7 linked regions of the Rattus norvegicus genome follow. The protein of the gene in region 6 purifies or fractionates together with the protein of the main gene of each other region. This does not show direct contact. Links are inferred from orthologs where the notes say so. Each region holds a gene or a part of one and is shown on either strand. Other genes may lie near its edges. The genes, in order: Syncrip, Snrpb2, U2af2, Larp7, Mrps26, Snrnp70 and Gemin5.

Region 1 (4,271 bases), on a different chromosome or scaffold from region 6:
ACTGACATTAAATTAACATACCTGAACATGAGAGAGATCACTGTCTTTGAACTGTTGAAGCACTGCCAATGCGCCGTCTTCATTGAACTCTTTTAAAGCTTCGATAGCTCTCTCATCTAAATCACTATGTGCAACTAGCCCTGGAGAAGAAAAAGTTTAGTGAGTTATCATCTTTTAAATTTTCTAAACTATTTCTTCAGAGTCCTGTATTTACCCATACAGGTACACATATGACAATGGTTCTACCTACCCTCCTTATCCTCCCCTCCTCTACATAATGAAACACCTACTTTAGCCATAAGTCCTCTCAACCACAGAAGGAGTCAACCTATTTTACATCCTGTTTTGTGTTCGAGTAGTCCTGAACACTCAATATTTCTACAGTAAATATATAAGCCTACAAATCCTAAAGTCAACCAACAAAACACCAAGCCTAACAACTGAACCTCTCCTCAATGTCAAGTACCACTAGAAAAAAGGAGCCACCACACCGAGAAAGACAAGAGAACTAGCCTAGAGTTACCAAGTTATTAAACAAGAATCATGCTATAAAAATACCTCAAAAAGTCACGTGGGCTGCTCTCAACATTCAGCAGCTGTTGCTACTATCATATACTTATCCATCAGGCCAGACAGCCTTCCCCTAGGGAGGTCTATCCCCTCATTTCATCCCTCCCTCTACACTCTACCTCAAACCTAAATTAACCAACTATCAGAACAAGGCCAAGCTCCAGTTCCCACGTTTATTGGAAACCACAAAAAGTTGCTATTTTAGCTCAAAGTCAGAAATCCAATAGAAAAATTTCATAATGTAATTTTGCAAGTGTTAGTTCTTACCTGCAACGTAAATTTCATCTAGTTTTTCAGCAACTTTCTGTGGTAAACCAGCATCAAGCAATGTCTGAAAATTTTCTGAATGGATAACTGCTGAAGTAGTATCCATGGGCTCTTCAGTACCATTTCCATTAACATGTTCTGTAGCCATGTTTCCAGAGATCTGTTCAAACGCAATAAGCAAAATTAAACTAGGATCTTCAAACAGAATAGAGGACAATGACAGTCCCAATCTTTACTTTCTCTTCCACTTGACTACAACCAGTCAGCCTGAGCCTCCCTTGAAAGAAACCTTAAAGTCACTATCGCCTGACAAGCCAGACTGTGGAGCCCGGGGTACAGAAGGACCGATTCACTATTTTCTTCCTGAGCACCACCCCTCACTTCACCTGCTAACTAACACTCACTGAGAAAAACCTTATTACAAATGAAGCCCAATCAGCACAGCGACCGGCCCAGCCTGCCACACGCAGCACTTCCAAAACGGAGAATAAGGTGTGTGAAGCAAGCAACGCTGGGCTTGTCTCTCTCCAAGGTAAACCAGAAAGTGCGCTTTTCCCGCCTGCCGCTTATAGATCAGTAACAACAGCCAGCGAAGAACAAAGCGCTCACACAAGCCACCTTCCCACCACCCAATTCCTCCACCCTTCACCCCCACACCCCAAAGCCCGCCCCCGACTCCGCACCCGGAGCGGCAGCAACGCCACTGCAGCCGCCAGGAGCCCATTAGAAACACGTGCTCTGCGCCTTCAAATGTCCTACAACTTCCTTCAACGGAAACCCACCGAGTACCAGGCCAAGACCGTCATGACCGCCTCCCAACATCAACCCGCAATCGGGGTCCGAGCCCCCCGAACACTGCAGCCGCACATCTCGCCCCTCAAAAGCGAGGCCGCGGCGGCGCCAGGCCACGGGCTCTCCCCGCCCCCCAGCGCCGCCGTCTCCGCCGTGACACATGGCTCTCCGCCCCGGGCGCTCCCGTGCGCCCGCGACCCCCAGCCTCCCGCACCCCTCGGTGCAGTGGCTGCGGCGCCGAGGCCGACAGCCCGCGCCGGGAGGGCGTTCCGCCGCCAAGCACACGCCCGCGGGAGCCGAGCACCGCCCAAGCCCGCCGGCCGGTCGCGGGACAGCACCCGCGCCTCTCCGCCCACTCCCGCGCCGCCGGCCACGACAGCACCAAGTCCGCCGCCGCTCGCGATCCGCTCGGGCCACGGGGCTGCCGAGGCGCCTCCTCCCGGAGCGCCGCAGACAAAGCCCAGACCCGGCAGCACATGGAGAGGAGGAAGTGGCGGCGCGACCGCGGCCTACTCTCTCGCAGCCCCGGCCAACGTGCTCTTCTCCCCCTTGGAATCCATTTTCCAGAAAAGCCGGTTTCTCCCCGCGCCGCCCTCCCCCAAGCACCCTCCAAAATGTCACGGAGCTCCCCCCTCCCCAACACCCGTGTGCCGGCCGTCGTTACCTCCCCGCGGGGCTGGGGCCGAGGAATCCTGTCCGACCGGGTCGGGTGGCGGGGAACGCGTGCTCGCTGCTCCCTGTGTCCGGCGCGAGTGGAGCTGTTGTAAAATGGCGGCCGAAGCTCACGCCGCTGGCAGCAAACCCGATCCAGTTCCACTCGCCTCCGAGCGCGCTCCCAGTGCGCGCGCGCGCCCCCGCGTGACCCCCCTTCCCTCCCCTCCCTGGCGCGTCCGCTTCTCTCACTCACTCCCTCAGCCCCTGCCCTCCTACAGCTCCTCCTTCTCCCCTTGCCACCTCTGCCGGCCGTGGGCCGCCCTGTCCTCTCGGTCTTCGTCCTTCCTTCCCTGCACCTCCTCCCCCAGCTTTCCCACTCCCGTCCGCGGCCGCTCAAGCACGAGTGGCCGCCCTTCTCCTCGCTGGCTCTCTGGCTCACGCCCTCCCTCGCTAGCTCTCTCGGCCCGTCCCCAGTCCCTGCCGAGTCGCTCTTTCTCTCTCCCGCGCTGACGTGACGACGCAGCCGACGCCTCAGGACGCGCGCCCGTGGGCCCCGCCTCTCGCCCCGCCCCTAGGTGCTGGTAGGGGGGGGAGAGACCCCGCCCTTCCGCCGCGGCGACCGTGAGGGGCCGAGTGAATGGGAGACCCGCCCTCTGTGCGGACACTCCCTCGCGCTCCGCGGGCGGGGCTGCCGGCTGGCTGTGTGTCCCACTCCTTCTTTGTCAGGAGACAAGCATCTCCCCACCCCGTCCTCCCCGCCCCCACCTCCCCACGGCGAGTCGGGGCTCCGAGGGTGCCCGGCGCTGGCTGACCGCTCTGCCCAGGCTGCCACCGCCGCCCCGCGCCCTGGGCGCTCGAGAAGCTGCAGGCGCACGTGTCCCCCGGGGCGGGGCGAGGCGAGGCAGACAATGGGGCTGCGGGGGAGGGGAGCTGCACGGGGGATGGCGGAACTCGGGGCCACCGGGTGGCGGGGCTCGAGTTCGGGAGTCACCCCGGGGAGCCCCGGCTTCCGCCGCTGGACAATGGGGCATCCCGCGGCCCGGCGCGCGCCGTCCTCGGCTTCCACGAATACCCTGGGCAAAGGGAGGGGCGCCGCGGGTTCGCGAGGAAATCCCAGTTCCTCCCACCCGGGGATGACACCGAGGCCAGATTTGGAAGCTTAACCGGCCCGGTGGTGTTGGATTGTGCAATATTCCGTTTCTGTCCCTGGCCTTTTAAGCGGTTAAGTGCTCCTCCTGGCACACTTTGAACAACTTGAAGCAGCAGAAAGCTGCGTGATTAGGACAACTATGAGGAAAATGTGTTTCTTTTCAAGCATCTTGGCAATTAAATGTTCTGTGAAGTGACATTTCCTTTGTAACCATTTACTAGGGACAAGAAAGACAAGACAAAGGCGTTTGTGTCTCAGGCGATATGGATACTAATTTTATGCAGAGCAGCTGTAATGTAAAATAACATCCTGTTTGCAAAAAAGAATACATACATATACATACATATATATACATACATATATTGAGAAAGCTACTGTTTCTAAAAAATCTAACATAGATTTATGCTGTAATAACAAGCCAGTAGTCCAAGGAAAGTTAAATAAACAGTACAAAGTGCCTAAATACATAAAATAGGGCTTTTTTTTTTCTGTTGACAAGTGGACCAAATAGGAAATATTTCTGAAGTACTGTCTACCCAAAATCTGTTTAATACGGCTCTGGCTATCCACCACCTAAATCCCTTACTACGAAACATATCCCTGCTATGGTATTTGATTAATTCAGCAAAATATTGTAGTTTGTACCCCAAAAGTCTGGATAATGATATCAATGAAAAACAACCAAAATGGTAATAGACGGTAGATTAAACAAGGGGAAAACTTTGACACAGTTCTTATTTAATGATCCCTGAATACAAGAGCTCCTTTAAAAGTGCTGCTCCCTAGGCAATGTCAAGAATTTTCCAATTGAAACCTCTCCTCTTCATCTCTGACCTAA
Region 2 (3,962 bases), on a different chromosome or scaffold from region 6:
TTGCTCATTTTAACTAGAATAAATTAACAGTTAATTCAGCTGTAGTAGTGTGTATTTATAACAATATTCATATAAACCTTGTGTGGTGGTGCACTCCTATCATCCCAGCACTTGGGGAGTAGAGTCTAAAGGATTAAGCCCTGGCAATATAACAAGTTAAAGGCTAGCCTAGGGTACCAGAGACCCTTTCTCAAAACAAATAAAATAGCTACAAAATATCCCTAAAATCTCTAAACAAACAAACAAACAAACAAAATCAAACACACAGAAAGCAATAACTTAGTATTAACTCTTCACTTAAAAAAAAAAAAATCTATTGACCGGTCAATAATGACTACAGTAGAAATAATAGGATCAGCTCACCATTGGTTTACCATAAAATGGAAATCCTTGTAACTGTCTCAAAGCATTTGTGGATGAGCCCAGTTCCTTAAATATAACAAAAGCCTGCCCTCTCATCTTCATGGTCTTTAAAGCCACAATATCTACCACATGTCCAAACTGAGAAAACAGGGCATACAGGGATCTCTTCAATTCTGTACAAACAAGAAAGAAAACATTTTGTGAAGGAAACAAGAATTAAGTTCTTCATAAAATAACAATACAATGAGCACCCTTACCATTCATTTATTTATACTGACTTAGCAAAAACACACTACTCCCATTGGCTACCCAATTAAAAGTTATTTGAAGCCGGTTGGGGATTTAGCTCAGTGGTAGAGCGCTTGGGTTCAAGGCGGTCCCCAGCTCCAAAAAAAAAAAAAAAAAAAAAAAAAAAAAGAAAAGAAAAGAAAAGTTATTTGAAGCCACTTGTGAATTAAAACATTCAAAACACACAATCCCTGCAAATTCTTATATTAAAAATTCTTAAAAGTGTGTAAAAATGGGATAAACCATTGTTGAACACCAAGATGACTAAAGGAGACACTGAGACCATTCCTAAGACACAAGTGAATAACCGCATGTTAGTTGTGAAAAAGCGGTTTTTAAAAGAACATACCTTCTTTTTTAATTTTGTCATTCATGTTGTTGATATAAATCGTGTGATTTGGTCTGATATCCATGTTTGGGTAAAACTCTTCAAGTAGCCTAAAAGAAATAATAAATAACCTATTATTAGCAAGGAGGGTTAAATCATGCAGGTTATGGCATAGCCAAAACCAACAACTATTAGCCGATCCATTATTTTTCCACCACTGACATCAGAAAACGTCAGCTGAAGTAGACAGTAATTCCTCCCTAACTTCATAACCATCTCTTTTAGACAAATGGAAAATAGCTCCCAAGATCAAAGCCTGGTAGAACAATACCAAGATTCTACAAATTGGTAGAATCTGTCAGCACATAGGCAGAGTTAGAAACATTATTCAGGTTATTCTTTCTTAAGCCCCACTTAAATGATATTGCCCTTTCATCTACAGAATGAAGTAACTTTTTAAAGTATACTTACTAATTCTTTGAGAATGTCATACGATGTATTTTGATCATATTCACCAGAAAAGTTTTTCAGTAAAATGAGTTGAACATTTTATAAAAGATCAGTAAACACACACGTAGTTTAAAAAAATTGTAATAAAACAATACAAATTAAAACACAGTTCATGGATTCACTCACGAATGTATTTATTGAAACGTTTAGTGTGTGTGTGTGTGTGTGTGTGTGTGTGTGTGTGTGTGTGTGTGTATGTATGTGTTTACTAGTGCCATCGTGTATGGTGAGGTCAGAGAACAACCTTTCAGGGGCTTTCACTTCTGTCTCTTCAGGGGCTTTCACTTCTGTCTCTTCGTCCACTATGTGAGTCACAAGAGCCAAACTCAAAGTGGGCAAGGTCAAGTAGCAAAAATCAAGAAGGCCTGCCAAGCCATCTCGACAGCCCTCAAATCTATTTATGTGTGTGTAGATAGACAGACAGACAGACAGATAGGTAACTCAATGGACAGTTTAGAAAGATAATTCAGAACTCATATTCTTGTACCAATAATATACAGATTCAAGTTCTGTCTATGCTTTTACAACCTGCTTCGAGGTGGGGCAAGTTCCTTAATGTCTCAAGTCCTCAGTTACAAATTATGGATACTAACTGCGCCTATAAAATGAAGCCCATAAGATTATGAGACAGACATCTAGCAGTCTGCGTCAGTAAGCACCTAAAGTTACTATTTATTATCGATGGCTATTACACGTTAAAGGACGCAAGTGTCCAATGTCATACAACAAGCTGTTCTGAACATCAGAGTGTTACTTACAGGAAGGGCCTGCACTATGTAGGTAACGGATAAGTAACGTTTATCAAAGGTTTGCCTCCCAAATGGGAACCTGGAGAAGGGCTGGTGTCTCACCTGAGGGACAAGAACAAAGGCTCTGGCATTAGCTCCTGCGGGCACCTGAAACCCAAAAGGCTGCCGGCGGTCGGAGGGAGACTGAGAGTGCACAAAGAACTGTACACCCTGCCCCGCCTCCAAGCAAGCAACGTGCTATTTTCTCTCCTTGGGCTAATTTCTATGTCAGCTCGAGCCTCTTTAAACACCTGCTGATCTGCCCAACACTAGGGTCCTCGGACATTAAAAATCCAACCATCCCGCAGAGAACAGGATACGACGCCGGGCCTTAACCCGCCAGCCCTAGGGTCGCCGTCCCTTCCTTCCATGCGTCCGCGGAGCCCGGAACCGCGCAACCAACGACACCTTCGCTCTGGCTGGCTCAGTCCGGACGGGACAGATCCCACCAAAGGCCGAGACCAGCCACAGCAAGGAAGACCCCGGCAAACCCACCTGAAGCCGGCGCGGTCCGCTTGAAGCTAAAGCCGGAAGAGGCTCCCAGCGCCGGAAGAGGACCGCCACACTCCTCAATCGAACTCAGATAAGTCGAAGAGCCGAGCACCGATTCAATCGAGATCTCCTCGCCAGGGTCGCCAGCGGCAGAATCTTTCTGCGCATGCGCATTCCCGTAGCCTGGAGGTTATAGTGGAAAGGGGAAGAACTGGGTGGGATCAACTTAGGATACAGCGGTCAAGGAGTGAAGGCAGAGAAGGGAAGGGTAGGGCATCGTTTCCATTACTGAAACTTTGAAGTTTCCCAACTTTATGATGTGAAAAATTTTACAGGAGCGTGTCTCCAGCGGCAACTTAGTCAAGCCTTTCTATGGGTTCTGCCCAACTTGGCTTAATACCAGCTGTAGAATTGCCATTGTCACTCCCTGAAGTCAATCAATGGGAGTCTGAAAGAACACTCCAGCACTCTACAGATTGCACCTTAGATGCAGCCCAGTCTTCGACCCTAGAGCAAAGAGATTCGTGAGTCTTTGCTGGTACTCTCACCAGATTTCAGGAGAAAGCAAACTAAGGATCACATGCCTAAACTCATTTAGAAACGGTTAACTCCCGCCCTCTCTCCCACCTTATCCTCACAAAATGCCTGGATTTTTCTAGGCTAAAAATTGGGTCAGGGACCAAATCAGTTGATTTTATCAGCTTGAGTGTTCTAATATTTGAAAGCCACATGAAGTTGCAGGACGGAAATAGTGTTTTTAGAGTAGTCATTTTTATCCCCTTTGCTCACTGAATTAGGAGAATGACTTACACTCAATAAATGGATGAATGAATGAATGAATGAAGTTTCGTGAAAATTAGGCCATACTAAATCAAATGTGATAGCCAATGAAAATCCTGTAAATGTGGGTAGGAAATAATGTTAAACAACCACAGAAAAGTGTCCTTTAATTGTGTAGATAAAGAAACCAGTCTGGTTTTTGTAAATATTGAATATTGAGTGTGTTTTTACCAAAAGAACATCAAGTAAATATAAAATAATTTCTAAGCAACGAGAAGATCTGAGCAGTTGATTGCTGGTGCTTCATTACAAGGAGAGCGCTGAAATAAGATATAACCTGCCTGTGTGACATAAACTGATCTGGCCGAGAGGTCATAGCTATTTTTAAAAAGAAAATTTATAAACATGCAAGG
Region 3 (3,500 bases), about 27 Mb from region 6:
TTGCAAAAGGATTACATAAGAAGAAAAAAAATAAGTTACATCAATACAGAAACCAATTTCTCCACTATAGGCCCCAGTCTCCCAAACGAGCTTGATCCTCTCTGGGTCCTCTGCATCACCCTTGGCCGGAACTAGACAGGTATTGAGAGGGACAGAGGGTGGTAAGGGGTGTGTACACAAAATAAAGGCACCCTGACCTTTCCGCAGCCAGGCACCTCGACGCCATCCACGGGCCGAGGAATTTCAATGGATTTGACCAGCCCATACTTGCTGCACTCGTCTCGTACATCCTCTACAATTTCCTCATATTCCTCATCGTCCAGCAGCTCCTCAGGGAGCACCATGTTCATGAGGCACAGGACCTCAGTTGGGTGACCGCCCATCTGCACCTGAGAGCTCATCAGGCCGGGCACTTGAAGGGTCACAGGTGTCTGATTGATGGTGCTCTGTGGGGTCAGGGAGAACAGATTTGTCACAAAATGGCTCAGACTAGCCTCCCTCCATTCAAGCCTGTGCCTCTTACACCCAACTAGTGGGACCATTCCTCTACTTAAAACACTTATGAACCCATTGTCCAAATCCCCTCCCATGAAAACTGGGGCAGAACTCAAGAAAACCTTCCCATCCAACCCTTCCCACCCCCAGGGTCCCTCTAGCCAATGGAAGATGACGTGCCGGGAGGCTCACCAGCGTGGCATTCTTGGCTCCCACACTCGCCCTCTGGACAAGCAGCTTCTTGTCCCCTAGCTGCATCCCATTCAGCCCCGCAATAGCCTATGGTCAGAGGATGAAGGGTGGAAGGGGTGCAGGGAAGGAACAAGTCAGGAACCAAGGGGCCCAGCACTTCCCCCAAAGAACCAGGCATTGTCAAGGAAAGAGTAGAAGGCAAAGGGCCTTTAAGTTTGAAAAGAGGCAAAACCAAAGGAAAAGAAATGAATCCCCACTAAACACCTCCCACCCTAGCCCAAGGAAAGGACCCCTAAGCTAAGAAATGAAGTAGGGTTAAGAAGGGCAGATGGAGCAAGCAGCTAAACACTTGGGCTCACCTGATCTGTAACGTTGATGTCCACGTACTCACAGAAGGCATAGCCCTTGGAGAGCCCTGTGGCACTATCCTTGACCAAGTTGAAGGCCTTTAGAGGCCCAAAGGATGTCAGCAGTTCTTTTACCTGCAAGGGGCCAAAAATTCATCAGGGTTTGGTCAGGCTGATAAAGGTAGCTAGCAAGAGAGCAGAGGATTTACCTGGTCATCATTCAGGTAGTTGGGCAAGCCCCCGATGAACAGCTTATGGGCAGAATCTGGGACTACAGTGGATACAACTCCTAAGACAAAAGGAAGAAAGATGGAACTGGTGACATACGCACGTGTCTTTTCAGCACTTGGGAGGCTAAGACAGAACAATCAGTCTCAAAAAAAAAAAAATCTACAACGAGCCCTTTCACAGGTCTTATCCTACTTAAGATATCATATAAATAAAGGTAGGAGGAAGCCACACCACCCCCATATTCTGACAAGTACATGAGCATTGACCAATCAACAACTGAATATGAAACATTCCCTAGGAACTGACAACCACCCAGGAACATCTCATCTCCTTCTGTTGTTCAGCCCTTTGCCTTCAAGGTCACAGGGTCCATAAGCCCTTGCAGGGGTGACCTGCATTCTGAGGTAATGTGACAAGGAGCTGAGAGGCTGCTTAGAGTCTCAAAACATGCCTCAGTGTTGGCTACCACTGTCATGATGACTAGTGGTCAACTCTGCGAAGCTGTGTTCAGGATCCATTAAAGCTCCAATATAACTACATAGTGGTATCACCTGAGGAAAACTCCCTTCTTCTCTATTCAACTCACATATAAGTGATGGCCAGATGCTTCTTAGCACACCACACAAGTTTCACCATCATTCAATTCTTAAGAGTCATTATCAGGCCCCTGCATCAGTCCAGCGTAACTTCTCTATTCCAAAGTCCCACTATAAGTAACCTCCCTCTTTCCAGCTCTCCCCCATGCCAAGTGCAGTGGTCCATCCTAATCTGCAAAAGCATCAAGATACTGAATGGACACACCCCAGAACCTGGGTCACTGTGACCCATCCGTCTTCCAGGGTGTGATGTGCCCCAAAGAACTGCAGGCATCAATTCAGCTATTTCTAACCATCAGAAGTGTACCCCAGTAGTCAAGTCACCTAGGCCACAACAGACCTAAGCTACAGTGCAACTGTGACAAGCAGAAGCATTAACAGCCAGGCCATAACCAGTACTGTCATAGGTCAGGCACAACTACTTTAAAAACCTATCTGGGCCTGGAGAGATGGCTTAGCAGTTAAAAGCACTTGCTGCTCTTCTAGGGGGCCCAGGTTCAGCTTACCAGCACCCACATGATAACTCACAACCACTCATAACTCCAGCTCCAGGGAATTTGACTCTCTCTTTTCTGACCTCCTTGGACACCAGGCATCCATACAGTATATACTTATATGCAGGCAACACACACTCATACACATAAAATTAAAGAGTTAATCTACCTCAGGTACAAAAGCCCTAACTTAAAGCAAAAAGTAAAGTTCTAAGTTCTGAGACAGGAAAAAGGTGACTTCTAAAGCAGCTCAGCAGGCTTGGCTCTGCAGCAGTCTCTGACAAGTAAGCAACAAGGCAGCAACCGGACCCCAGGCCCAATCTGGTAATCACTGTACCTTACCTTAGAGGGAGCACAAGGTAGAGCCCAACCCAGCTGCCCTGACTTCAACTCTTTGCTATCTACACCAGAGAAAACAAGGAGACCACACTACTAACAGGGCACACACAGAAGCATTCTGTGCCACTTAATCCCAGGAATACAAGGAGCTAACACTGGTGACTAAGAACTCACTTCTGGGGGAATGCAGCTCAGCTTCCACTACAGGTGATGTCAGTTTAAGTGATCAGTCCATTACTCTCTCACCAGGGACAAAGTCAGCCTTCCGATTTACAAATCTTTTAACTCTATCATCAACGTTCAGTAGATTTCATCAAGTGCTTTCCCTCTTTAGTTTATATAGTGACCTTTGTTCTCCTCCTCTGGAAGAGGAAGTTCAAAAAACAAGACCAGGACCTGAAGGCAGAATTCCAGTTGGTGCTACCACCTCCAAAGTAGTAAATTTGTGTGGAAGCACAGGCAGGCACATCCCAAAGAGACTCAGGACTGATCTTTCTATTGTTTAATCACAGCGGTGCAGAGACTCACTGTGCAAGAGGCTTGCCCCTTAGCAGCATGATCCAAAGCAACTGTGACATTATCTACATGGTTTCCAGCAGAAAGTAACATGAAAGAGTACAAAAGCTGAGCTATGACTCCCTCTGAAGCCAACCTGTGCAGCCCAGGAAACCTATGAATTACACGACCAAGAACAATTATTAATCATCACTGCTGGCTTTCCTCCTCTGTGAAATGACAATTCCACCTACTACAAAAGGATGTCAAACTGTGATGTGGCACATGCTTGTGATCTCAATACTGGGGGC
Region 4 (4,272 bases), on a different chromosome or scaffold from region 6:
CAAAAACTATTTATCATCACTAATGCTAACACTATGATCAACCAAGTTGACCACAAGCCATGTCTGTATGTATTTGGACCAAGTTTTCTCATTATTGTGTTCCAGAAAATGTAGACACAAATCTTATCTATATAATAGTTGCTGTGAAGATGAAATAAAAAAATGTAATTTAAGCACTTTAGAAAATGCAGCTGTGGAGAAGTCTGCAGAGATGCGGTTAAGAACACTTATTGCTCTTGCCCTGGACACACGTTCAGTTCCTAGCACTGACGTCAAAGCTCACAACCTCCTGTAACTCTGGGTCCAAGGGGGGGGGTCCAAAGCATTCTTCTGACTTCTGTGGGCATATGGTGCACAGACAGACATACACACATATATTACATAAGTTAAAAAAAAAAAAAAAAGACTCTCAGGCTGGAGAGACGGCTCAGCAGTTAAGAGCACTGATGCTCTTCCACAGGTCCTGAGTTTAATTCCCAGCAACTACAGGCTGGCTTACAAGCATCTGTAATGGGATCTCTGATGCCCTCTTCTGGTATCAGAAGACAGCTGCAATGTACTCATAAACAAAATAAATAAATCTTAAAAAAAGGGGGGGGGGGGGCTTGCTGTGGAAAGCATGATGCTGTGTTATTTTTTCACCAGTCACTAAATCCTATCAATCTGATCTTCAAAATGGTTCTTATCCACATTTAATGTTTTCTACAACTGCTATTACAACATAATGAGTTTATAATATGCACCAGAAGTCACCTATCCTTTCCAGAAGGATACAGGTGTTACCTGTCCATAACACTGATGTGGTTTGTGAAGGTTATTTCTTATTTTTGGTAATGAGCCTAGCTTTTAATGGCTAAGCCATCTTTCCAGCCCGTGAAGGTTATTCCTTAATTTGCAACATTAGTAATTCCTTATCTTTTTTTTTAGGGGGGGGGGTCTGGTGTATAATATACTGTTAAATGGGTGTGATGTCACACAACTTTAATACCAGCAGCACTCGGGAGGCAGAGGCAGGTGGATCTTTGAGTCTGAGGCTGGCCTGGTCTACAGAGTGAGTTACAGAGCTCAGGAGAGCCAGAGCTAGAGAAACCCTGCCTCCAAACAATCAAACAAACAAGCAAAATCCATCCACAAAACCCACGGTCTCGGAACAAGGAACTTACTGTGTAGCAATGCCAGCTATTCACATACATGGTTTAAATCTTGATTACTTGGTAGTTTCTTTCAACTTTTTTTTTTTTAAAAAAAAGATTTATTATTAAATATAAATGCACTGTAGCTGTCTTCAGACACACCAGAATAGGGGATCAGATCCCGTAACAGATGGTTGTGAGCCACCATGTGGTTGCTGGGAATTGAATTCAGGACGTCTGGAAGAGCAGTTGGGGCTCTTAACCACTGAGCCATCTGTCCAGCCCTTCTTTCAACTTTTTAAGGGAGCCTGAAAGGTTATATACTTTAGTGAAAGCTAGGTAGGTAAGCAAGCATTGATGTTTCTCTTACACTGTCTACCTTTTAGTAGAAGCTTCCCCACCTTGTCACCATCCACAGTATATTCTGACCCAGGAATTCTTAATCTGAAATCCCTGACACTTCTGGGAGTTTAAAGAAACCTTAGGAATCCATGAAATGTTATAAGACAGATTTTTAAAGAAAAGGCAAAAACCATGCTTTCACAAATATAAATGACTATGGCGAATGAACTTAAGTAGGACAAATCCGTTTAAAGGAGAAAGACCAGATCAATATACAATAGAAAGTTGAAATGAATGTTAATATATACTGGTCAGGGAATGACATACTTGGGCAAACATGGTTTTTCATCTTTATGTTTTCAACAAGTTAAAAGTTGTAACATTGCTCAAAGACAGTGAATGTCATAATCTGGATGTAAGCTATGCTACATGTAATAAAAAATTCAAAAAATTTTAAAATCATAGGTTTTGCTTGTAAAGTCACAAACAAAATCTTTCCATTAATACATGTAAAATTTCCAAAGGAACTCGACGATAACATTTTTCAGGATATGAAGAAAAAGAAGTGTACCCAAAAGATTGAGAGCCAAAGTTGTAGTCACAGCAAACCCCTTAGTGGCCTGCAACTTTGCTTCAAATGAATCTTTTAGTGTGAATGTTTTAGCAAGCCATTCGATTTCCCACCACCGCCCAGCTTCTAAAGACTAATAAAAGGTAGTCTTACTTCCTGAGGACTTCCATTTTCAATGAAATCTCCACTCATATTTTCCCTTAGTTTCTCATAAATGTACTCAGAACTTTAATTCATCATTTATCCTCAGGCATTTTCTGTAGAGGGCCGACAGGGTGAAAGACTAGCAAAAGACTTAATTCTAAAATGCAAGTTCTCACAGCTGATGTCCTTGGGCAGACAACCTGTCTACCACCCACAGATCCCCTGAGCAACCCTACTTCCGCAGACTCTTCCAGAAGCCGGGCGTGCCCCAAACACCCCAACACCAAGATCGGCCCGCCCCCTCCGTACTACAATCCGAATTGCAAGGGCCGCCAGGGAACTGCGCGTGCGCACAGAGTACGTAGCCGAACCAACGGAACAGTGGCGAGGGGGGCGGGGTGAACCCGACCACAGATGTAGGATGGACCTCAGGATACCAGACTGAGAGGAGCTTCCACCTCACCCGGTCTGAGAGGATCTACAGGCCACTTGTGACTTACTCCGTGCACGTCCTCAGATCCACGGTCAGCGATTGCGTTCTTCCACGCTTTCCGTCTCCCGACCCTAGCAGGCGGCGGAAATTTGCGTCATCCGACCAGCGACGCGCTTCTCTCAGCCCACTACAGAAGGCCGGGTCCGAGGCTCTGTGTCCGTCACTGACGTCACAGGCGACGCATCTCGGGGGCGGGACCTGGGGGGGTGTGGGAAGCGCGTTGACTGCGCTCGGATGCGGAATTCCATTGGTAGTTTGCGAACGGTGGCGGTGGGGCCTCAGCCGCAACGTCCCTGCTTGATGACGTCTCTCAAGTTCGCGGGAGAAATTCGAAAGTGGAGTTCATGTCATCGAGCAGGTGAAATGGATACTTTCTGGTGTTCTAGGCAATGAAGGGTTAATAGACTGGGCGACTTGGCGCGGTTGGGAGAGCACTGGACGCTGACTTCGCCTCCACAGAAACCGCCCACGAGACGCCGTTAGAATGCAGGGTGAGGCGGTCACTGTCGAGGCCCATCCCGGTTGTGGTTGTTTTTGGGGCTGATAAAGGACCAAGGGTCCATTATTATTTAGTGACACAAAACCTTGATTTGTCAAGTCCTGGCAAGTAAAGCTATGTTTCTTTTAGGTAGTTGTACTGTTATTTGTGGTTTGGAAATTTTACTGGTTTGGGCCGTGCTGTTCTGAGCTACTGTGTCAGCTTTTCTTTAAAAGCAAGGTTATGCCACGGCTTCCTGCTGTTTTCATGGAAAGCTCTCCTCAGCATAACAGAAGATCATATACATCCGATTACTGATGACTCCTGCCTCATCCTCATTCTCTAGTGCTTTCCCTTTTCTATGCTGCTTAAGGATCAGGCCTCTGCGCATACTGTTTCCGGGTTGGGAGCCACCCTTCACTGGTGAGTACTTGTGAGAACAGTGTGTTGGGCTCCAGAGCCAGACTTTCTAATGTAATAGATTAAGAATTGGACCTGAAATGTTACCAGTTAGTAATAGCTAGTTGTCACGTCATGTCCCTGGAACCACTTGTAGATATGTGTGCTCATGTGTGTGTTGCTTTGGCATCGATTTTCAGTTCACCATCGATGATTTCAAGATTTCAAAATTTGACCTTATATTTTTAACCAGTTATCAGGATAGTTAAAGTAGGTGCAGCACCACTGTCTAAGAGATTTCTCTTCCTGGGTGTGCTGGAGTATTGCTTGTAATAGTCCAGCTATTCCAGAGGCCAGAGCAGGACTGTGCAACTTGGCCAGATCCTATTTTAAACACACACAAAGACTGGACACGTGTAAGCACTATTACCTAATTTACGTAAGGCCTTGTCGTCAGCCCTTAGCACTGGGTAAACGAAAGAAAAATTCCTTGCAGAGGAATCGTATGTATATTTGGTCCTAGGATACTTTGCTGTACTGACTAAGGTATAGTTAGCCCTCTATATCTGTAATTTCTGTATCTGTGTTCAGATGGAAAATAGAAAAAAAAACCTGTTAGTACTGTGCATACAGATTTTTTTAAAAGATTTATTTATTATATATAAGTACATGGTAGCTGTCTTCAGACACACCAGAAGAGGGCATCAGATCC
Region 5 (3,618 bases), on a different chromosome or scaffold from region 6:
TCTCTGAGGCTAGCTGGCTGGGCAGTCTAAATACTGAGTGCCAGGTTCCAGTGAAAGGCCTCGTCTCAAAAACCAGAACAAACCAAATCAAACCAAACGTAAAGCAGACCAAGGTGAGAGAGTCTTGAAATGACACCCAAGGGTGCTGTCTGGCCACTGCTTACACACACTGAAGGACAGCAACTGACCGCAAGAAGCGGGTTTAGAGTGGAGTCTACTGTCTGCTGGGTAGTCCAATGACGCTGTGTCAGGGCAGGGTCCGGTTACAGAAATCACTGACGGGGAGCTTCCAGGAGAAACGGGGCACCCTTTTTGCTTTCTGGACCTTGGACACACCTGACCCTACCCAGCAAAGCCCAGGATTGAGCAAAGCAGATAACTAACTCCTGGCTCAGTTAGGTGAAACTGGCTTTTGGCTAATAACCTAAAGACCCAAATAACTGGGGACAAATAAACTTATTCTACAACAAGAAAAAAGCAAGCCACATAACAAAAGGCTTTGCGTTCCAATAGTTTATTTATAAAAGCAGGAAACATTGGGCTCACACTATTCCAAGAAACTCAGGAGACAGCTCTTGGCTTCTAGAGGGGACAGTCCAGTCTGATCTTCTGTGTGATAGGAACTTCCCAGAGTTTAATGCTGTCCGGAGTTTGTATGTGGTGTCAGAACAGGGTACTATACCTGGTGCCAAATCTAGAATGAATGGGGGCTGCTCTGGACAAGGCTGTGCCACCCTCCTGGGATGCACCAATTTCTACCCCAATATCCAGTCCCTAGGCAAGCACTGTCCTTATTTGGGCCTGAGAGGCCTCTGTTCTCAGTTCCTGACCACCTGCCCTTCTTTGGTGACCGCCCAGTTATAACTCTTCGGAGAGTCCAAGGCCTCTTCTATCCGTGCCTCCAGGTTCTCCCGAGTGATGAAGTTTTTGGCCTCCTCCTACGGGAAGAGAAAGGTTAGCTACGTGGGATCTCTCAGAGCTGGCTGCCTGCATAACTTACTGTCTCTAGCCCACCTTAAGAAGGGTGTCAAAAGAGCCCAGGGCCCCTTTGAGTGTCCCACCAATAGGCCAGCACAACTGTACTAGGTGACCTCAACCATTATATCCCTCTTCCTCGGACAATTACCCATCAGATCTCTCAGCCACAACCCAAGAACGAATCGAATCGTGACAACCTGATTGGGGGGGGGGGAGGTGCGGGGTGGTGGACTCTCTCAACCTTGTCACTCTCCCTTACACAATAAAAACAGCTCCATTCTCATTTATGGTTTCCCTGACTTCAAGTTTCACACGGCAATACTAGCCTGTAACCTTTCATTGACCATTGTCTGGGAGGCACTCTGTGCGTGCAGAGCAGAGAGAGAAGCCTCCTGAAGACTGGTCACTTGACACCCTGTGCTGCTCTCCCCAGAGCCTCCCTCACCGGAATCTCCAATACCCACATTCCTCACGACCTTGGCCCACCTGCAGTTTGAGAACTTCTTGTTCTTTCAGTTGCACCCAAGCCTGCTCCTCCTGGGCCCTCTGGGCCTGGACCTCAGCCTGCCGCAGCTCCTGGGCCTGTGCTTCGAGCTGCAACCTAGCTATCCTGCGAGGAAAAAGGAGCCGAGAATGAGCGGGGCCGTGGGTGAGCCTAGCCCAGCCCACCCAGCCCCGCGCCTCTCGCACCGTAGTTCCTGCAGTCTCCGGTTCTCCTCCCGGTTCCAGGCCATCAGCTCCTGGTGCTCTCTGATGGCCTCTTGCGCCTTGCGCTCAGCCAGAACCCCGGCTCGGGCCTCGTGCAATTTCCCTCGCACCTCCAATGTGAACTCTCGCCTGGGTGAGGACGGGCTTCAAGTGAGCACCCATCCTCCAGCCCCAGCACTTCCCAGGGGGCGCCGAAGGCCGCCTGCCCTTTACACACACCTGAGAGCGCGCACCGTCTCCCGGTACTGTCGGTAGCGCTCGGTCAACACGAACAATTCCGCAGGGTCCACTGCAGGAGGCATTTTCACGCGCCCGACCTTGGACTTGGCAGGCGGATCGTGGCGGGTCTTGCGGCCGCGCACGGGCAGAAGGAGCAGGGTTGGGGGCTGGCCCCCGGGCCGCGCGGCCAGGCGGTTCAAAGCCCGCAACATGACAGCTAGCGCCTGCGCCCTGTCCGGAAGTGGTCGAGGAGCATCACGGGAATCTCCTGTCCCCGCCCCCGTAGGCGGAGCTCTTGCTGTCTGGCCCATCGCGTCCCTGGAGTCTCGGGTAGAGTGGGAGGGTCGAGGGGCACCTTGGAGACCACAGTTCGCTGGGCTGTATTGCCCGCCAATGACAGCTACAACACCAGGCGCTCTTGCCTACTTGTTCACAAGCTTGGACACCGCCCCAAAGCGTGTGGTTCTCTGGCCCACCGGTGGCCTGTGTACCCTTCCAGGGCTGATGCAAGAAATTCTGAGCTTCTAGCTACTTAAGTTAGGCTTACACTTCCTCTTTGAGTAAGCGTTCTCCTGATGCACTTTAAACTTTAGGTTTGCAATCGAGCAACAAACCTTTTCCTTGCATTGCACTGCCCTGTTGTGGTCTTGGGCAGCTCTGCAATTGCCAGAGTTCTCAGTATCAGTGATCACTTGTTTTCTACTGGGTGGCCTGTGTGAGGTGACGCTTGTCCTCTTTCACCTGAGCCGGGGTCTTCCCACCTTGAGACCATTTATGAAGCTTTTAAAGTACTATCTCCTCTACAATTGAAGAGAAACAGGCGGCAGTGCAGGGCAGAGAGCATCTGTCCCAAAGGTAGATGGCTCTCCTCTGGGAGAGTTGTTGGTAATCAGAAGCTGACGGTGAGGGCTAGGGAACTGAAGTCTCATCCTACTCATTAGTGTTGTCAACACCAGATTCTGCAGAGAATCTGCACTTAGGAGGGTCTGAGGAGCCTGGGCTGACTGCAATACCTGATATTTTCTCAGAAGAGAACAGAGTCTGCTTACATCCTTCTCCCAACTTCCAGGCCCGTAGGAGGCCCAGCCAGCACCCTCTTCCTCTCATCTCACCCTACCCTGGAGTGACACAGGGTTGCTCTGAACATCAGGGAACGTGGCACTCCCATCCTTTCTTTGCAACAGGGTCTCACTATATAGCTCCGGATGGTCTGTCACTTACAATGTATATCAGACTCACAAGAGGTCCATCTGCCATTGCCTCCTAAATGCTGGGGTTAAAGGCACATACCACCACACCTGTCCTAAACCTTTCTTCTTCGGGGTCATCCTAGATAACCAGTATCTCATTTCAGATAACTTCAGTGTCTGCGCAAAGAGAATATTTCTATGGTGTGGGTCATTCCTAGAGGCTTCCTAACCTTGCTGGCTCTGACGTTCTCTCGGCTGGTCAGGTCTACTCATCCTTCTTTCAGAGGGTTTCATAAGTGTAAGAGATTTAGGCCTACGGTGGATGAAAGATGTGGAGTCATTTTGAGTAGCTAATGCTACAGAACTAGAAGGCAGGTTCTCTGCCCCCTTTCTCTGACCTGTTGGGGAAGTGGAAGTAACTGTCCATTTGTGACCCTCCCCACTAGGTGGCGAGATAGAATTGTCAAAGCTGGGAAAGGAGGCTTTTCTGGGCAGTTCATGGGTAGAAGGACAGACAGACAGA
Region 6 (3,834 bases):
TCCAAGCTTTCTGCAGTAAGATGCTCTTAGCAAAACCATAAGCCTACCTGAAAATGTGGGAAACACAGCAACGAGTGAAAGTCACTTTCAGGACCAGCTATCCGTGGTAGATGTTCCTCAGCTCTCTGGTGGTATCTATCCTTGGTTAAATGTAAAGACTGGGCCTTAAGCAGCAGATTGAAGTACTATCAGACAGCTCTCAATGGGACTGCCTTCAGCCTTTCTTCAGGGTTATGCCAGGCTAGCCACTGCTTCCTCAGGGCTCGCCACACTCAAAACTCTCCCAGCTGTCTTCCATCCCTCCAGAAATGTCAATGGCTGGCACCCTGCCTCTTTGCCTACTGTTCTCTCAGAAAGATGCAGCCAGGGCTTCCCTATCTCACTTGTAAAGCAGCTATGGTGGCCGGGAGAACAGCCTCTAATTCAGGTTATAACACACGCACTAGGAACAGTATACCAAGTGGAGCTGAACAGTATGAAGTGTAGTAAGACACCAAGTGCCCACTATCAACAGGAAATTAATTTTATTCTTAAATCCAAGGGATCAGAACAAAAAACCTCTGCCCTCAGAGGGCAAGCCAAGGTGGAAAGGCTAGGAAGGCAGACAGCAAGGCAGGAGCATGTCCACAACAGAGGCCTCTTCATTCAGGCGCTGCCTCCATCAGATATCCGTTCTCTGGGGCCATGTACCCATCCCCACCCTCGGCCTCCATGTACATGTCTCGACCATCACTACCTAGCCCTTCCAGCCCATTGTCCTGACCGCTGCCACCCCCACCCCGGGCCTCATCCCTGCCCCGCTCACTGCCCCGCTCCCCACGCTTGTGCTCTCTATCCCGGTCACGGTCTCGGTCCCGACGGCGTTCCCTCTCACTTCGGTGACTTCGACGCCTCTCCCGGTCTCGATCCCGACCCTTCTCCTCAGGGCCATCAGGGCCTTCAGGGCCAAGCTCTCCAGGAGGCCCATCATCAGGAGCTCCATCACCAGCTTCAGAGGGTTCAGCCATGTCGCCTCCACCGCCTCCGCCGCCGCCACCACCACCACCACCACCACCTCCTCCTCCGCCTCGAAGCTCCTCTTTTCGCTCCCGCTCCCTGCGTGCTCGCTCCCGGCTCCGACTACTTCGACGCTTTCGATCTCTGTCTTTGTCCTTGCTTCGCTCTCTGGATCGGCGCCGCTCATCCTTGTCTCGACTCCGAGAGCGCCTCCTCCGGTCCCGAGAGCGGGAGCGTCTCCTTTCTCTCTCCTTGTCTCGCTCTCGGCTTCTTTCTCTGCGCTCCCGCTCGCGGTCCCGGTCCCGGTCTCTGTGTGGAAGCGGGGAGGGGCCCGGCCTATATGAGGTTAGCACTGCATGGAAGGGTACCCCCTTGTGACTGCCCTGTCCCAAGAAACCAGGTGCCCAACCTTACCTCTCATCATATCGGGAAGTGTCATCTCGGCCTGAATGCCTGATATTCACATCTGCCCCACCTCTTCTGGTACCACCAAGGCCACCTCCTGTGGGCCAAGTAAAGGAACATGGCAGCGTTAGTGGACACAGTTTAAAAGGGAGTATCTTTTTTTGGTTCTTTTTTTCGGAGCTGGGGACCGAACCCAGGGCCTTGCGCTTCCTAGGCAAGTGCTCTACCACTGAGCTAAATCCCCAACCCCAAAAGGGAGTATCTTAAAGGGGCCTACACAGCTGACAAAAAACAAGCGCCTCTACTCACTGCCACAGGGTATATATAATCTCATGCCAATCATCTCCATGTCCGCTGGTTGTAGGACAGCCATGTTATCCAGCAAGGTTTTGCACAAAACGCTAGAGCTGGGGACACCTGAACAAGAACCTTCTTGCCTCCCAAGCTTGTCAACCTAGTCCACTACCAATTTGTACTTTGAGCACAAAGTCCAAAGTATGAACTTATAGAAAAGCTGAAAGTAACTAGGTTTGGTATTGCACCCCTTTAACCCATACTTCAGAGGCAGAGGGAGCCTGGCCGACAGTGAGCTTCAGGCCAGCCAAACAAAAACAAAAAACAACAAATACCAGAAAAGCTGGAAGACCTGTCATACCTAGGTTCCCAGGGAATCCTAAATTTCCAGCCTTCTCAGCTGCCTCTTGCTCGCATCAGTCAGCCATGTAACATTTACCTTGCTTTCCTTGTCTCTGTACCTTCTACTTCCCTGTCAGTCTCGAGATCCCTGCCCTGCTCATCACACTACACCATGCTGCACTGAACTGTTAGAGGCCATCAGCAACTCCACAACTGTTCAAGGAAAGCACTCCCACACCTCCCCAGATTCTGACAAGCCACAAAAAGACTTTAAACTTGCACAGATTTAACACCTGGTCTAGAAGGTGTTGGGTACACAACACTAGCACTAGGGAGCAGGTGGCAGTCTCATCTTCAGATGGGGTGGACTAATGAGCCACTGGGCCCCAGTAACTTGGCAAGGAAGGAGTGAGGTGGACCTGTGTTTCACATAGGAGCACAGGCAAAGAGAAGTCAGCCACATGCTAGGCTGTTAAAGTAGGTATAGATTACAGGTTAGACTACTGCAAAGCAGGACACAGACTTTAGCTGCTGGATCACAGCCTAACAATAGGTTAGGCCATTAATTATCAATAAAAAAAGTCTATAGCGAGAATTCTGTAATTTGGGTTACTTTAAAAAACACCGAGGCTTGGTTGGAGATGGCTCAGTGGTTAAGAGCACTGACTGCTTTTCCAGAGGTCCTGAGTTCAAATCCCAGCAACCACATGGTGGCTCACAACCATCTGTAATGGGATCTGATACCCTCTTCTGGTGTGTCTGAAGACAGCTACAATGCACTCACATATATAAAATAAAGAGATCTTTAAACACACACACACACACACACACACACACACACACACACACACACACACACACACACACAGAGAAATATTCTAAGAACATATTTTCATTTTTAATCCCAGATGCAAGGATGTAGGGCTGCTTTGAAGCAGCGGATTTGCTTCATGCTTTGTAAGAGGCATGGTTTTGCCAGCTGCAGATAAGCTTCTGTGATTGTATGACATTTGGAATTCTGGGAACTTTTCAGAGGGTATTTGAATTCTTGAGGTCAGGTTAGGGTAGGTTGTTGGATTGTTAGGCACAAAAAGAAAAGAGAAGAAGAAATGATATATCCTAATGGTGAAGATCAAACTTGCCCCAAGGAACTCAATGCCCCTAATCAGCAAGCAGGTAAGTGTCCTTTTCAACCCCTGATTTTATTCAGGGATCTCTTTTTACTCCTCTGTATCCCCCCCCCCCCAACTTATGTAGTTTTAGGGAGTTGAAAGGGTGGAAGGATAAGGGTTGAAAAAAGAGCAGGGGCTGGGGATTTAGCTCAGTGGTAGAGCGCTTGCTTAGGAAGTGCAAGGCCCTGGGTTCGGTCCCCAGCTCCGAGAAAAAAAAGAAAGAAAGAAAAAAGAACCCACAAAGTAGCCAAACATAGCTACAATGTCTACAGCATCTTTCAAAATAAAACACTTTCTGCACAGGAGGTAAACTCCTTCCCTCCACCACTCTTCATATCTGACTGTCACAAGTCCAAAAGCAACAGGGCTAGTCAAACCATAGCCTGAAACCTCAGAAACTGAGTTAAAACAAACAGCTTGTTCACTAAAGGCTAAGGCAGGAGAAATCACCATGAGCTTGAGGCTACCCTGGGCTTCACAGTTGAGACCATGTCTCAGAACCTCATACAAATAATAACAAATACCACTATGCACTACATGTGGGAAAATTCTGCACAAAGTTTCACATAGGCTAAAATGTCTCTCCATCTGAGTGAAGAAGGCTCATAGTTTATTATTTATATTA
Region 7 (3,500 bases), on a different chromosome or scaffold from region 6:
AGAGGGCAGGGGTGATGGTGAGGGGAGGGAGAGAACAAACCTAGTCAAGTCATTCAAATCCACTGACACAAAGTTAAAACAAATGTAATTCAATGTGTGGGCCTAGGCAGAAGACCCAAGAGTTCTCTGTATTGCTGGGCTTGTGTATTGCTCAGCACTTGGGAGGCTGAGGAGGAGGATCAGGAAACTGAAGCCAGCCTGGGCTTCGAAAGAAAAGAGCAGATGAGGCCTGAGCACAACCACACACTGTCACTGTCAGCAGAGCACTCTAGTTGAAAGGGGAAGCTTCAAAAGGACGCTTGTCTTTACTCCCAGCGCTTAGGAAGCAAAGGCAGGCTAATCTCTGAATTTGAGGCCAGCTACCTACATAGTGAGTCCCATGCCATCCATGACTACATACGGTGAACCCTGTCTCAAAAAGAAACATCTAAAAAGAAAACAAAAAGGCCACTTTACAGTGAAGATACATAAGATTTTTTTTATCATCATTGCAATTAAGCTGCTCCCCTCCACTTAATTCTTTGCTCTACTCAATGATAATGACTTGTAAGGGAGAGCAGGCAGCCCACAAATTCCCCAGTAGCTCAATCAACTGTCTGAGAAGTCTGGCTGAGCATGATGGGCATCATTACAGATGGCCTTGAAACACCAAAGGAGGTTGAGTGGGCTTCAGCCCACTGGAACTTACTCTAATGGAGTTGGTGTCTCTCATGAGTTTGTTGATGTCAAAGGCCTCTCCACTGAGCTTCCAGGGATTATGCTGCAGCACAATGCCTTCCCCTCCACAGCTGTACAAGGTGAGGGAAGGCCTGTCTCCTTCCCCTCCTATGAAAGAAAAACTCTTGAGTGAAGTGTCTCGCTTCACCACACCGCTTCCACAGCACGTCGTTAACACAGTGCAGCATTGTGAACACGAATACGGCTTAGTGTGGGAAGTGATCCAGCACGATGGGACAAAGCCACCCTCCTACCAATCTAGACAGGGTGGGCAGATGAAAAGGTATCATTAACTTCTGAGATACTGTGTTCACTGTACAGGCTTTCTGACATTCAGGAGCAGTGACACTAAAGATGTGACCAGAGGAAACGTCATGGTCTCAAATGACCAAGTCGTTTTTCTTCCAGAAATGATTCTTAATGTTTGTACAGACATAGAATGCAGAACTTCCCACAACTAGGGAGAGGTCTCAAGGCACAGCCCTTAGTTATGAGCTGTCCTATTTGCAAGGCAACTCTCTGCATAAGACTACAGCTAAGGAATCCAGCCACTTCAGCACAGTAAGCCAGAGTGTGGAAACTTCTGACTCATTTTAAAGATAAGAAAGTCATACTATGTTAGGGAAAGGAGCAGTGGCCAGGGTGGGAAAAGGAGAGGCAGGGCTACAGAAGAGAAAGATACAGGCCTCAGCAATGACAGAGGCCAGCACCTAGCCTCAGGTTACTCTGAACCGTGGAAGACCCAGCTCAAAGAGAAAAGCAATACTTCAGAGTTGAGGGAGGCACGAGTCAAGGCTTTCCTTTAGCCATCAAGACCACCTATGTCTGATACTCTCTCTCTCTCTCTCTCTCTCTCACACACACACACACACACACACACACACACACACACACACACACACACACACACACACACAGAGTGATTATACTAGAACATCTATGACCTCAGCTTTCAGGCTTTAGAATTAAAGTGGAAAAATATACTCATGTTTGTTAAGAATGACTCAAACACTTACCAAGTGACATGGGGGGCACTGGTGGCCCCCAAGCCAACCTATATACGGTCTTCTTATGATATGTGCTTGAAATCTGTGGAGGTCTGTGGATGGAGAAAAACAGGATGATCTGAAGAAAGAGGCCCACTAGAAAACAGACCATCTTCCTCTGAAAGGTCTTTCCTATACATGTGGTTGTTTATATTAGAGAAAAACAGTTTACCTTTGTCCAAAATAGTTAGTTCTAAAAAGCAAGCACTTAACTTACCATATAATAATGTCCACTCCTGGGGCTGGGGATTTAGCTCAGTGGTAGAGCGCTTACCTAGGAAGCGCAAGGCCCTGGGTTCGGTCCCCAGCTCCGAAAAAAAGAACCCCCCCCCCAAAAAAAATAATGTCCACTCCCAAAACAAGTCCCTAGTGCATTACCCACCCAGGGGGCCACCTAGAATGATTTTTCTGTCTAGCCCATAGCAAAGCAATGTCAAAGTACAGAGGCTGTGACAACCACAAGCACCCAACCTCAGGCTGAAGATGAGAGGCCACTTCACCTCCATGCTTTGCCATTTGCTCCCCTCACTCTTTCTGAGACAGGGTCTCGCTATGTAGATCTGGCTGTCCTGCAAGTCACAGAGGTCCACCTGCCTCTGTCTTCTGAATGCTGGGATTAGAGGTATACACCACCAAGCCAACTAGCCAGCATCACACTATTACACTGCATAAAATCTGAAGACAACTAAAGCCTTTTACTGTCTTTCAGGGGCTCTTGCTCTTAGGGGTGTCTAGGGAGATGGACTTGTTAGGAAAAGGCAGTGCTGTTATGACTTAGTGTCAATCTTAGTCTAGGCATGGATTCAGAACTCCAGAACTGTGGCTGACAGAGCTATGCTACTACTGAAGAATTGGATACACTTAGAACACTCTGAGAGATGGTACTAATCTTTCTGGCTCAAACAAACAAACAAACAAACAAACAAACAAACAAACAAACAAACCAACCAACCAAAACCCCCCAGCTTGACGACCTAACAGTGCTATCTTCCACCTTAACGCACACCTTAACTAGCAGTAGGATGACTAGTCAGCCTATGGGGTGATTTAGTCCTACTTAAATCAATACAATTTTGTTTCATTACATATCCCTTTGAAATAGCTTTTAAGCAAAAAGGGAGAAAGTTAAGGTTCTACACAAACACTTAAAGCACTGCATACAGACCTGGGGATTTTACTTGGATTATTAGCACCCATGGAACTTTCTGACGGTCTGAATGAGAGTGGTCCCATAGGCTATGAATTCTATGTGGAACTGTCTAGGAAGGTGTGGCCTTGATGAAGGTGTGTCACTGGGGGTGAGCTTTGCGGCTTCAAAAGCCAGCACCATTTCCAGTTAGCTCTCTCTGCCTCATGTTTGCGGGTCAAGATGTGAGCTCTCGGTTACTGTTTCAGTGCCGTGCCTGACTGCCTGCTACCATGCTGGTCATGAACTCACCCTCTGGAACTGAGAATCCCAAGTTAAACTCTCTCTTGTAAGTTAACGTGGTCATGTGTCTACATCAGTAGAAAACTATGATAGATCCCTAGCACAGCAAGGAAAAGTGACCGAGAGAGGTAAGGCAGAGGGAGGGAAGACATGCAAAGAGGGCAGTGCTGCAGTAGAATGGCTCTCGAGCCCTTTTCATAAGGGACAGCGAGCAGGTCAGGGTGCTGCAGTGGTGTGGAGGCAGCGGGCAGGTGCAGTCAGTGAGTACGATGAGCTCCTCCAGGTTTATTTACACACGGAGATCTGCA

Evidence for each region.
Region 1: the proteins of Snrnp70 (region 6) and Syncrip purify together in Homo sapiens (affinity purification with mass spectrometry; 3 studies listed by BioGRID and IntAct, counting the BioPlex papers as one, with this or other methods). This does not show direct contact. The link is inferred for Rattus norvegicus from reciprocal best matches to the Homo sapiens genes SNRNP70 and SYNCRIP.
Region 2: the proteins of Snrnp70 (region 6) and Snrpb2 purify together in Homo sapiens (affinity purification with mass spectrometry; 5 studies listed by BioGRID and IntAct, counting the BioPlex papers as one, with this or other methods). This does not show direct contact. The link is inferred for Rattus norvegicus from reciprocal best matches to the Homo sapiens genes SNRNP70 and SNRPB2.
Region 3: the proteins of Snrnp70 (region 6) and U2af2 purify together in Homo sapiens (affinity purification with mass spectrometry; 4 studies listed by BioGRID, with this or other methods). This does not show direct contact. The link is inferred for Rattus norvegicus from reciprocal best matches to the Homo sapiens genes SNRNP70 and U2AF2.
Region 4: the proteins of Snrnp70 (region 6) and Larp7 purify together in Homo sapiens (affinity purification with mass spectrometry; 3 studies listed by BioGRID and IntAct, counting the BioPlex papers as one, with this or other methods). This does not show direct contact. The link is inferred for Rattus norvegicus from reciprocal best matches to the Homo sapiens genes SNRNP70 and LARP7.
Region 5: the proteins of Snrnp70 (region 6) and Mrps26 purify together in Homo sapiens (affinity purification with mass spectrometry; 3 studies listed by BioGRID and IntAct, counting the BioPlex papers as one, with this or other methods). This does not show direct contact. The link is inferred for Rattus norvegicus from reciprocal best matches to the Homo sapiens genes SNRNP70 and MRPS26.
Region 7: the proteins of Snrnp70 (region 6) and Gemin5 purify together in Homo sapiens (affinity purification with mass spectrometry; 4 studies listed by BioGRID and IntAct, counting the BioPlex papers as one, with this or other methods). This does not show direct contact. The link is inferred for Rattus norvegicus from reciprocal best matches to the Homo sapiens genes SNRNP70 and GEMIN5.

What each region holds. Positions count from the first base shown.
Region 1 is NC_086026.1:98,312,587-98,316,857, forward strand, and holds the start of Syncrip (heterogeneous nuclear ribonucleoprotein Q), read right to left. Parts: upstream 2,801-4,271; 5' UTR 2,294-2,800; intron 998-2,293; 5' UTR 986-997; coding exon 838-985; intron 141-837; coding exon 22-140; intron 1-21. UniProt on the Homo sapiens protein: Heterogenous nuclear ribonucleoprotein (hnRNP) implicated in mRNA processing mechanisms. Component of the CRD-mediated complex that promotes MYC mRNA stability.
Region 2 is NC_086021.1:150,851,672-150,855,633, reverse strand, and holds the start of Snrpb2 (U2 small nuclear ribonucleoprotein B''), read right to left. Parts: upstream 2,801-3,962; 5' UTR 2,773-2,800; exon of another isoform or gene 2,370-2,772; coding exon of another isoform or gene 2,341-2,369; exon of another isoform or gene 2,248-2,340; intron 1,090-2,247; coding exon of another isoform or gene 1,065-1,089; coding exon 1,001-1,064; intron 537-1,000; coding exon 364-536; intron 1-363. UniProt on the Homo sapiens protein: Involved in pre-mRNA splicing as component of the spliceosome. Associated with sn-RNP U2, where it contributes to the binding of stem loop IV of U2 snRNA.
Region 3 is NC_086019.1:77,793,792-77,797,291, forward strand, and holds part of U2af2 (U2 small nuclear RNA auxiliary factor 2), read right to left. Parts: intron 1,324-3,500; coding exon 1,244-1,323; intron 1,170-1,243; coding exon 1,047-1,169; intron 775-1,046; coding exon 676-774; intron 447-675; coding exon 198-446; intron 1-197. UniProt on the Homo sapiens protein: Plays a role in pre-mRNA splicing and 3'-end processing. By recruiting PRPF19 and the PRP19C/Prp19 complex/NTC/Nineteen complex to the RNA polymerase II C-terminal domain (CTD), and thereby pre-mRNA, may couple transcription to splicing.
Region 4 is NC_086020.1:218,684,509-218,688,780, forward strand, and holds the start of Larp7 (la-related protein 7), read right to left. Parts: upstream 2,801-4,272; 5' UTR 2,691-2,800; intron 2,339-2,690; exon of another isoform or gene 2,217-2,338; coding exon of another isoform or gene 2,200-2,216; intron 1-2,199. UniProt on the Homo sapiens protein: RNA-binding protein that specifically binds distinct small nuclear RNA (snRNAs) and regulates their processing and function.
Region 5 is NC_086021.1:138,220,870-138,224,487, reverse strand, and holds Mrps26 (small ribosomal subunit protein mS26 precursor), read right to left. Parts: upstream 2,165-3,618; 5' UTR 2,118-2,164; coding exon 1,906-2,117; intron 1,816-1,905; coding exon 1,669-1,815; intron 1,589-1,668; coding exon 1,465-1,588; intron 939-1,464; coding exon 819-938; 3' UTR 501-818; downstream 1-500.
Region 6 is NC_086019.1:104,992,018-104,995,851, forward strand, and holds the end of Snrnp70 (U1 small nuclear ribonucleoprotein 70 kDa), read right to left. Parts: intron 1,499-3,834; coding exon 1,411-1,498; intron 1,333-1,410; coding exon 642-1,332; 3' UTR 501-641; downstream 1-500. UniProt on the Homo sapiens protein: Component of the spliceosomal U1 snRNP, which is essential for recognition of the pre-mRNA 5' splice-site and the subsequent assembly of the spliceosome. SNRNP70 binds to the loop I region of U1-snRNA.
Region 7 is NC_086028.1:42,826,357-42,829,856, forward strand, and holds part of Gemin5 (gem-associated protein 5), read right to left. Parts: intron 1,817-3,500; coding exon 1,734-1,816; intron 826-1,733; coding exon 689-825; intron 1-688. UniProt on the Homo sapiens protein: The SMN complex catalyzes the assembly of small nuclear ribonucleoproteins (snRNPs), the building blocks of the spliceosome, and thereby plays an important role in the splicing of cellular pre-mRNAs.